Linked DNA regions of Caenorhabditis elegans. The protein of the gene in region 1 purifies or fractionates together with the protein of each later gene. This does not show direct contact. Each region holds a gene or a part of one and is shown in the gene's direction. Other genes may lie near its edges.

Region 1 (4,639 bases):
ATCGATTCGTCAAACCTTTTCATGACTTATATCGTACATGATGACCGTAAATATGTTTTGAAAATTGATGCTCGTTGCGGTTGAAATGATAATCTATTGGCATAACTATTTTTTAAATTATGAATAAGCATTTGCTGTTTTCTCCAACTTGTTTGAATCAATAAAGATTTAATTTATGGCAGTCTTGAATATTTACAACAACAAATATTCCTTACACCGATTCATCATGGTTTTTTTAAATAGCAAGTATTGATTGAGTTGACCGTTTTCCTTCCCAAGAGTCAGAGCCACCATCTGATTATCGATCAAAAATAACATCTGTTCAATGTTCCTTTTCTTTATTTGTGCTCAATTGTGTCTCCTGCAGTCATGGCCACTAGTTTCCCAGTCCTTTGTCTCCCCAACAAGAATATTCGAGACGTTCTTCAAAATATGTCAACGTGCAATTTGTGAGTTTTTGGGAGGAAGGTTTCTTAAATTTGGAGCAGTCTTGCCAGTCTATAGACAATTCTAAATTCATTCCTGCAAAAATTATATAATTTCAGAATAGCATTCTCATTATGCTCGAAAGCAACAAAGTCTCATGTAATGCACCTGAAGAATGATATTCAACAAATTAGTATCAAAGCATTTTTATCAATTGATATTAATATTTTGTCACACAATCAAGAAGTAACTTCGTTGGTTTTCTTCAAGAAAGACTATGGTCGATGGAATTTTGAGAGTTGCGAATCAGTAACCGCCACAGAAACTTTGACACCGTTGGAGCCCGAGTCTGACAGAGTATGGGTGAAAAGAGGATTCAAACTTCGGGATTGGATCGATCATGTTATGGAAATATTCAATTGCTCGAGGATTCACGAAATTTACATTTCCAGAATAGGTCATGAAGAGCACTATATAAGTTTGAGCAATGCAGTGAAGGAACTAAAAACTGAGACAATTTTTTTTAGTTTTTGCTCGGATACTGTTGTCCAGAGTGTAGTCGCCAATGTCCAAAGCAATGATATATCCTTTAATTTATCATTCAACATTGAACCGTCCATGCAAAAGCATAAAGTACTTACTCGACACTTCGAACGTGTTTCATTTTCCAAAGATGATACTAGAGAAGCTCTCACGTTAAATGATTTATTGATCACCAACGTCTCCCAACTAAATATTTCCGCTCATCATCTGTCTTTCGAAGAGTTGAACATTTTCATCAGGCACTTGATTAGTGGATCGAATCGGAGGCTCAAAATTGTCGGCATTGTTTGTGCTGAAGCGACCAGGAACATGCAAATTTTGTTGAAAGGAATTTCTCACTCGGTGTACTCGGCGGAGCTAAAAATTGTGGCTCGAAACGAAAACGACTACCAACTTGGTGATACTATCTATGTATACCAAAATTGTGGAAGAAGGTTGGCGATGCAGACGTACTTATTTGAAGGAGTTGAGAAAATTGTAATGCGAGTTTATTGACTTTATTGTATAACTGTGTTGGTCTGTGTAATACCTTTTTATTTTCTACAATTTTCTACAACTCTCCAACCCTGCAAAACTTTTTTGCCACTTCTTTTGTTCGGGCTATTATTCATGATTTTTTGTTTCCTCATTTTTTTTGTTTTTTTTTTCTAACTTCTAAATTTTATGTAACTTTTTCCTCTCTTTTTCCCCCTAAGCCTAAGCCTAAGCCTAGGCCTAGGCCTAAGCCCAAGCTTTTCTACTTGCATCGAATACACTAATAAATGTTAAAACTATTGAAAAACAGATGACTCAGGTTCAATTAAAAAATGTGATAATAAATATTAATATTTTTCTTTTAAATGTGACCTATCACTTTTGAACGTTTTAAGAGTTTTAGCTTTACTCAACTAAATTTAAACTACCGGAAAACTCTTTAAAAATCTCTATTTTTGTTTAAATTATAAAGTGTTTAGGCAAATTTCACCCAGGGAACATGTGTCACATGTTTTTTGCTCTCCCTCTCATCCCCCACTGCTTAAAGATCTTCTCGGAGGATGCGCCACCTGTCGTCAATTTGTTGTGATGTTTGAAGACAGAGAAATCAGAAACAGATAGATAGACATTTCGTTTTGATATAAAAATACATTTTGATTTGTGTTTCCGAATTTTTAATCGAATTTATATTCCAGCCATGCTAAAACCAACTTTAACATTTTACTTAACACTTCTGTACACCCTGAGCCCGGTGAGCTCTCAAAACTCCACTGAGCCGTGCGACTCGGACAAGTGTCTCCTGATGGTCGCAGAGCTTGGGCCGATTATCAGCAAGCATGAGCACGTGAAGCCCAAAGCCGAGACTCTGAAAAAGATGAATGATTTGTGTACAGATATTAAGGTTAGGCTTAGATATCGGATTTTCCAGAAATTTCAATAATTTCTCATATATTCCAGACGTGTTTTAAAGCAGCGACGTGTAAAAAAGGAGCCCATACCTATGAAAGTATGAGGGATGCCTGTGATGGGCTCGAGTTGATGACCGGAAATGTGCAGCCTTGCATGACAAAGTTCTATTTAGCAGTGTATAATGAGAAGTACAATTGCACAGGAGAACGGGATTATTTGACTGTGAGTCTGGAGCTTTTTATTTCAAATGTGCACTCAAAAAAAATTAAAATAATTCCAGGACGACCTCCCAGCTCGCCGCGTATCCTACACATCAGGCCGGTTCTGCTTCTTCCAGGTCATTGGCAAGGAATGCTCCGAGGAGACTGTAGCCATCCTGAGCTCCAACTTCAACTATGACAACCTGATTAATGTGCTCACAACTGTGCCGGGAGGCTTTCAGGACAACTGCAATAGACTGCACCATGCGTTCAATAAACTTCAGTGTGAAGCTCTGGAAAGTGGTATTGTGGCGAAGGAGCGGGAGATCAACTGGGTAGACGTACAGTCGAATGACACGAATTTGGTGGAGTTTCTGCAGCTTTTTGAGGATGCAGAGGCAAGATTTTAGCGTTGATTGTGGTATACACCATTGAAAATTTCCGGAAAATCGGCAAATTCCGCAACTTGATAATTTGCCGAATTTGCCGGAAAAAACGGAAAAATTTCGGGAAGTGGGCAAATTGGCGCAATTGAAATTTCCGGCAAATCGACAAATTGGCAAATTATTGAAAATTTCCGGCAAAACGGCAAATTGCTTAAATTGAACATTTCTGGCAACCCGGAAAATCGTTGGAATTGAAGATTTCCGGCAAATCGGCAAATTGCTCGAATTTTCGGCAAGTCGGCAAATCGGCAGTTTGCTGGAATTGAAACTTTCCGGCAAATCGCAAAACCAGCAAATTGCCGAAAATGAAAATTTCTGGCAAACCGACAAACTGCCGGAATTGAAATTTCCGGCAAATCGGCAAATTGCCGGAATTAAAAATTGGGCTAATCGGCAAATCGGCAAATTGACAAGCTGACAATTTGTCGAAAATACAATTTTCTGGCAAGTCGGCAAACCTGTAAATGGTCGGAATTGAACATTTCCTGCAAATCGGCAAATCGGCAACTTGCTGGATTATAAAATTTCCGGCAAATCGGCAAATTGGCAAAATATTGAAAATTTCCGGCAAATCGGCATATTGCTGAAATTGAAAATGCCGCTAATCCCTGATATACGTAAACTATAAGCTATCAGCTAAATTTTCAAATTTTCCAAAATCCGTTCTCATTCCAGAAATGCATCTCAAAATCATGCTCCTACAACGACCTGGAACGCCTGATCTTCCAGAGCAAAAAGGACTGGTTTGAGCTCTACAGCACCGAGTTTTTCATCTGCAAACGGAAGATGATGCTCGACAAGCCGACCGCAAAAAAGTTCCCCTGCATCGGGGACCATAACATTGCGGGCTCGAAAAAAGAAGAAACATGTGAGCGGCACACAAAGCTGAAAGAATGCACGAGGACTGTTATGGAAGCTTCGTGTGGGAAGAAGGCTGTTGAGAATTATGAGAAAACCGCCGAGACAATTAAGAAACATTTTGGGTGTTGATGAATAAAAGGTTTATAGTCAAAAGTATTGAAAAAAGTCTCATTCAATAGTAATCACAGTAGAACAACGTATACTATCCAATTTCCAGTCCAAATGCATCATTGTTTCGTCATTTTGGGTGAACTTGATGCGTTTTTCAAGTTTATGGTTATTGCCGGGGTTTTTATTCCAGATTGAATAAGAAATCCCTTTCATCGAATCCTCCACCTTCCAGATTCCTTCATTAGTTCGATGAAGCTCGACTGTTTCCAGCTGTCGATTAGGTTGAGCTATATATAGCCTAATGAAAATGTTTAATTCCTGGGAAGACAATTTACAAGGGAATAGGCATAGTTTGGAGCAGTTCATGAGGAGTACATCGTCCAGCTGTAAATTTTTTCCGCGACCAGGAAGCTCATATGAAACTGAACCCAAATTGAGACAGTGAATTTTATGATTTGGCATTAGATGTCTTTCTGGGAATAGAGAAAAATAGGTGATTTTCTTGTGTTGATCATTGTTGATGCAATTCTCCAGCATAGTCTTTGGGACGGTTACTGAATCGCAAGACTGCAAGTCCCAATTGAACACGGACATGTTTTGTAGAACATCTTGAATGGTTTTGTTAGGAAGACGAAGAATAGGGAAACTGCCAGTCATGACAGTAGGAGA
Region 2 (5,648 bases), on another chromosome or scaffold:
CAGATGGCACCACAGAAAACTCACTCACACTGTCCTTTATCAACTCGTTTTTGATCATCTGAAACGCTTCACTTCTCATATTAAATATTTTTTTAAAAAATTGCTCACATCAGCAATTGTTCCAATCGTAGCTGCCTTCTTCTCAACATTCGTATCATCGCAACCAATTGATATTCCCAATTCAAAAGCTTTCTTCAATTGAAGATCATCAACTCTCATTGCTGTCTTTGATTCCAATAATGTCCGTTCACATTGGATTGAATTGCCCAGAGCTTTTAGAAGAGATTCATCCATTTTCGCTTTGTCGAATAGTTTTGGCTCATTTTCAGACACACTGAATGTTGCTGTTTCAACGATTCCCTTACTGATTATCAATACTGCTGCCGGGTCGAAGTCAGTGAGTCGCTGAAAAATATAACAATTCATAGAAATCCTTTAAAAATTATCTGAAAGCGCAGAACTTGACTGTATAAGCACATATCAATTTTAACTTTTTTAAAAAGTTGTTTAAAAAGCTTGTTAAAAGTAATCCACACATGGGAAAAAGAAAAAAACTAACTCCTTTCAATTCACCAGTCATATTTGGAATGAGCATCAATGATACGTCCTTATCGATTACAAAATCTCCTGTACAAGTGAGACGAGCCAGTTCGTCGACAGCTTTTCCTCCGCTAATATTGATGAAACATTACAAGATTTTCAATCAAAGAAAACTCACATATCATCAAATGAGAGTACTGCAATCAAATTCTTTCCTCTTCCACGAATATACATTTCTGATTTCTGAAAAAATTGTTTCCATTTGGAATAATACACTTTATCTTTAAAAATATGTATGTGAATTCCAATTCCATATTAGCAGAAATATCTCATTAACTGACCGTTTCATTATCGCCACAAGCCAGCAAAGTAATATCATGCCGAGCAGCTCGTGCTCCTGGAACAATCGTGACTGTAAACGTGTCAGATTCGAGTCCACGTGCTGATACAGTAATTTGATGATCGCCAGGTGGCAAAAGTCTCCAGTATTCTCCAGCTTCAGTTGATATAATATCTTTTCCAGTATCAACAGATATTGTGGCGTTGGCAACTGTATTATTATTTCTGTCAGTGACAAGACCAGTTACTCCACTTAATCCCATCTCCAGAAATGAGAGTAAAGAGAATTGGTGTTCTTCCCATAATCTGAAATGGAAAATATACACTAACAATCATAGTTTTGAGTTTTTGATGTAAAGATACGCCAAAAAGTTGATAACTCTGATTTACAGTCTAGGATTACTGTCGAATTACTGTTCGCAGAAAAACCTGGATATTTTGTGGAAAAATTAAACACTCTACGGTAAGAATTCCTGAAAACCTCACTTTGGCATCATATCATCAGTTGGAAACTTGAAGCAACCCATCTCTATAGTAATTTCCAAACAATTCGTGTGCTCGTATTGCCAGTCCTGCATTCCCCCCGCCAAATGATACCATCCGGCTCCATTTGTGATTCCATTTATAAAATTGTCACCATCAGCTGATAATCCACATCTTAAACATGAATTTTATAGTTTTTGACAAAAATCTTGGGCTCTATAACCTTCTTCCAGTTTTCCACATTTTGGTATGAGCCCTGGCGTATCGATAGCTGAGCTCTACGAAAAGCTTGTCATCCGCACTCTAAAAATTTTTCGATTGAATTGTTCTCATAAATCACAAGAGCAGTATGCGCCCTCACAAGACCATTTCTCGTAATTTAACGTTTTCTTTCATATACTAAAAACAGAAAGATAAGAGCTTGGTCAAGTTAAAATAATAAAAACAGAGCGGATCCCTTATCTCAGTAAGCTACTGTAAAGAGAAATTTTTTTTTTCCAGATCATTAGGGCATGTTTGATATTGTTTTACAAATTAAGAAGAAAACTGCAAAAGAAAATCGGAAAAGTCGATAAAGAATAACAAATTCCACTTTTGAAAAAAGTTTGACTAGGTTCCCTGTTTGAATTTCCTCCAAACTGAGACTTGATTCAAAAGTGGGCACGACTACTCAATTTAGAGAAAATTCAAACACAGTATTGAAAAATCAGTGTTATTTTAATCAAATTTACCGTGAACTCGAATCACCACGCGATAATTATACAATTATCTTTTCAACTCTGTGCAAATTCACCAAAAACCAATTATTTCTAATTAAAAAGTTCTACGTGTCTGGCTTGAGATAATCATTCTTCAAAAATCTATTCAAGCAAATGGCTAGAAAGGGAACGACTCCATGGCACGAGAGCCGCGAGATGCACACACAAGATGACGCCGATTCTTCGTTGAAGGAGCAGGAGAAGACGACGAATAAGAAGGAACAGACCACTGCGCCACCGGAAAAGAAGTTACCGACTATTCCAGGTATACTAAATTTTCTTTTTTAAATCATCAGGAAACACCCAGACTAACCCTACACCTCAACGGCTCTGAAAAAGTAGGATGTAAAATTAAGATGAGAACGGAGGCCCCACCTGTTGGGTGAAACTGTCAAAAACAGATACACGGAACTGGAATATATTTAAACGTGTGACAACATTGCAATTATTCACGTGAATATTAAGAATACCATTACGTGTTAGAAATGTAAACTGCTTGAGGGAGTTGCATGAACATCTTTTCGTATATGGAAAAGCAGAACGAATTGCACATAAGGGCGCTGAGTGGGCAATTTAATATGCCCGTCACCCCTCGGTTGAATATAATTACCTCTTCTAGAGGCTGTGATATTTTGAAAGCTTATATCAAATTTAGTACCAAAACAAAACAAAGTATATCATGCAGGAAAACTCCCGAAACGATCTGTGGAGCCGCCAGAGGAGTCGCGAGATCAAAAACCGGCTGGAAACAAGCCCAATCTGAAGAAGTCTCCATCTAACCCAAGAATTCCGCCAGGAGGAAGCCATCCTCGAAAGAAACCAAAAGTGCCGAATCGAGACCCAAGTGGGAAACATGTGAATAGCGACAAGGCAAGTCAAATTCTTATTTTCAAAGTTTTTCCTACGTAATTGAAAGAGTTGCAAGATATTTGCCATGTGATGGCCGTGTTTAGCTAGTAAAATATGAAATCTGGAACAACTAACTAGCAACTGAAAAACTAGATTGTTTTATCCCCAAATCAATTTAAATTGTTGTTTTTTTTTCAGAAGAAACCTTCCGCTGAAGCTCACGACAAAGAGTCATTGTCATCCCCTCCACAAACTGACGCAGGAAAGGAAACAACCAAAGAATCTGCATCGACATATGGGGCGTCTTGGAAAAGTAGCAAACCAACGCTGAAAGCTGATCTGAAAGCTATGGAAGATTACATCACAAAAATGCCGAATTTCCATGGATACATATGTCGAGAAGATGCTGCACAGATTCTGAAGCATCCTGGTGACTGGTTGGTTCGATTGTCGGTTCCACCATCAAATGATCAAGACAAGAAGAACAAAGCGCAGAACTTGGCAAAAAGTGTTGAGAGGACGAAGGGTCACAAGAGTACAATGCAGAAAGTCTTTGTGATCTCAGTTCTTTGCAGTGAGTTTTGATGTCAACAGTCAAGATATGGGCGAAGCCAATCTAGATTTGTTTTGAGTTTTAAAAATCTTGTATTTTTTGCTATAATTTCAGAAGGAAAAGCTCTGTCTCCAGCAAAGTCCAATAATCGAAACTTGGTTATCAAGACAAACAATGGAAAGTTTTCAATTGACTCTGTCCATTGGCTTGTGAAACTTAAAGACCTTTTCTCCCACTATCAAGGAACTTCAGCAGTTCATAAAAATGTAAGTTGGCATGACGTGAACTATCATTTGAATCAATGTACAATACACAGGGAGAATTCCAACTCTTGAACCCAATCAGCCTCTCAAAATGGGAGTTTCAACATGAGGACACGGAACTTTTGGCGAAAAAACTTGGAGAAGGTGCATTTGGAGAAGTTCGAGTCGGTCGGTTAACCACGAAAGATCCGAAGAAAAAGTTGGTGGAGGTGGCTGTGAAGATGCTTAAAAGTTCAGCGGATTCAGTGACACGTGATCAAGTTGAAGAATTGCTTCACGAGACGAGAATCATGCGGAAATTGGATCATCCGAATGTTTTGAGATCTTATGGAGTTGCAGTTTTACGCGAACCATTGTATTTGATGATTGAGTTGTGTTCGAGTGAGTTAGTACCTGCTATGGGTTCGGAGTACTTGAAACTGTCCAAAATTCATGAATCTCGCAAAAGGGATATGAGATCTTTTTAAATCGCAATATTTGAGAATCTTTTTAACCTAGCATAATTCCAGCCATCTAAATATTTTTGCATTTTGGCCACTTTCGAGTATTTTATAATCCCCATGCACACTTTCGGAATTCAAAAATACAATTTCAGACGGAGCTCTACGTGAATATCTCAAAGAAAATCACAAAACGATCACTCTTGCCGACAAGATTAACTTCGTACTAGGTTCAGCTCGTGGTGTTGCATATCTTCATTCTCAACGGATTCTACATCGAGATTTGGCAGTTCGCAATATTCTTCTCACTGAAGATAAAACTGTATGACATCGCGGTTAAAATTTGACTTTATCAAATTATTTTTCAGCCAAAAGTGTCCGATTTTGGTTTGGCTGAATTAACGGATAGATATGAAATGAAAGAGCATTGCAAGATTCCTGTGAGATACTTGGCACCGGAGACTCTAGAACTCTTCATCTTCACTCCAAAAACTGATGTTTTCTCATTTGGATGTGTGATCTGGGAGATCTACGAGAACGGACAACAGCCTCACGATGGGAAAAATGCACAGACTATTCGAGCTCAGGTACTTGAGCATAAGCTCCTTCTTAAACCCGGAAAAAAAACAAAAAAGTTGTACTTTAGGTCAAGAAACGAGAGTTCCTGAAACTGTCGAGTTCGGCACCGGAAGCACTTCGACGACTAGTGGCTGAGAAGGTTTTTGTAGCGGATCCGGAAAACCGATGCTCGATGACTTCGGTAAACATTTAAAATTCAAGTAATAGCAATAAAAAATGAATTTCAGATAGTGCAGTGCGTGGAAACTGCGGAGAAGACTGTGAAGTAGCTTATTTTCGATTCGGTTTATAAATGAATGTGTTGTCTTGATAGAGGTTGAGAAGAACAAGCAAAGATCAGGGATGGGACAAAAAAATAATATTTGAATTGAAATTTTTACCACATATAGGTAATAATTAAGGGTTCATTTAAAGGCTACCATTTTTGAAAAATTCTGGTTCAAGGGATCCTTACAACATTTTTGGTTTTTTGAACCAAAAAAATCCCAATTATGTCGCAGAAAAATTTCGAAAATTTTTTTTTTTTTTTGGGTTTTTGAAAAAATCCTGGTTAAGACCGGACACCTCGACCGGGCATAGATAGGTTACAGTACTCACACAATCAGACATCATCCTTCAAACGAATCAAAACTCACAGCAGTATAAATACCATCTTGGCCAGTTACTGAATCATCATATGGATAGTTTGCAACTAAACTTCCGCCGTGTAAATTGGTACTTAATACAAACGGATATGCTTGAAGCCATTTCATCACAGCTATATTTTCCCTGAAAAGATGTACGGAGTTGAAAACTTCAGTGTAAACTTACTTTTCCGGTTCAGAACCACCTGATGTTTCTCGAT

Evidence for each region.
Region 2: the proteins of F08D12.7 (region 1) and F59A3.8 fractionate together in Caenorhabditis elegans (co-fractionation; one large-scale study listed by BioGRID). This does not show direct contact.

The regions. Positions count from the first base shown.
Region 1 is NC_003280.10:2,766,619-2,771,257, reverse strand, and holds F08D12.7 (T20D4.11-like domain-containing protein), read left to right. Parts: upstream 1-2,136; 5' UTR 2,137-2,140; coding exon 2,141-2,344; intron 2,345-2,400; coding exon 2,401-2,574; intron 2,575-2,632; coding exon 2,633-2,950; intron 2,951-3,673; coding exon 3,674-3,988; 3' UTR 3,989-4,008; downstream 4,009-4,639. Other genes in the region: sdz-10 (F-box domain-containing protein), read left to right, coding at 1-84; fbxb-105 (F-box domain-containing protein), read left to right, coding at 370-449, 546-1,464; F08D12.15 (F-box associated domain-containing protein), read right to left, coding at 4,028-4,627.
Region 2 is NC_003279.8:5,521,860-5,527,507, reverse strand, and holds F59A3.8 (Tyrosine-protein kinase), read left to right. Parts: upstream 1-2,167; 5' UTR 2,168-2,234; coding exon 2,235-2,385; intron 2,386-2,805; coding exon 2,806-2,990; intron 2,991-3,167; coding exon 3,168-3,543; intron 3,544-3,636; coding exon 3,637-3,788; intron 3,789-3,838; coding exon 3,839-4,166; intron 4,167-4,380; coding exon 4,381-4,547; intron 4,548-4,593; coding exon 4,594-4,812; intron 4,813-4,871; coding exon 4,872-4,985; intron 4,986-5,031; coding exon 5,032-5,073; 3' UTR 5,074-5,116; downstream 5,117-5,648. Other genes in the region: cpd-1 (Peptidase M14 domain-containing protein), read right to left, coding at 1-58, 109-405, 560-671, 719-783, 882-1,185, 1,366-1,536, 1,586-1,665, 5,440-5,572 and 1 more.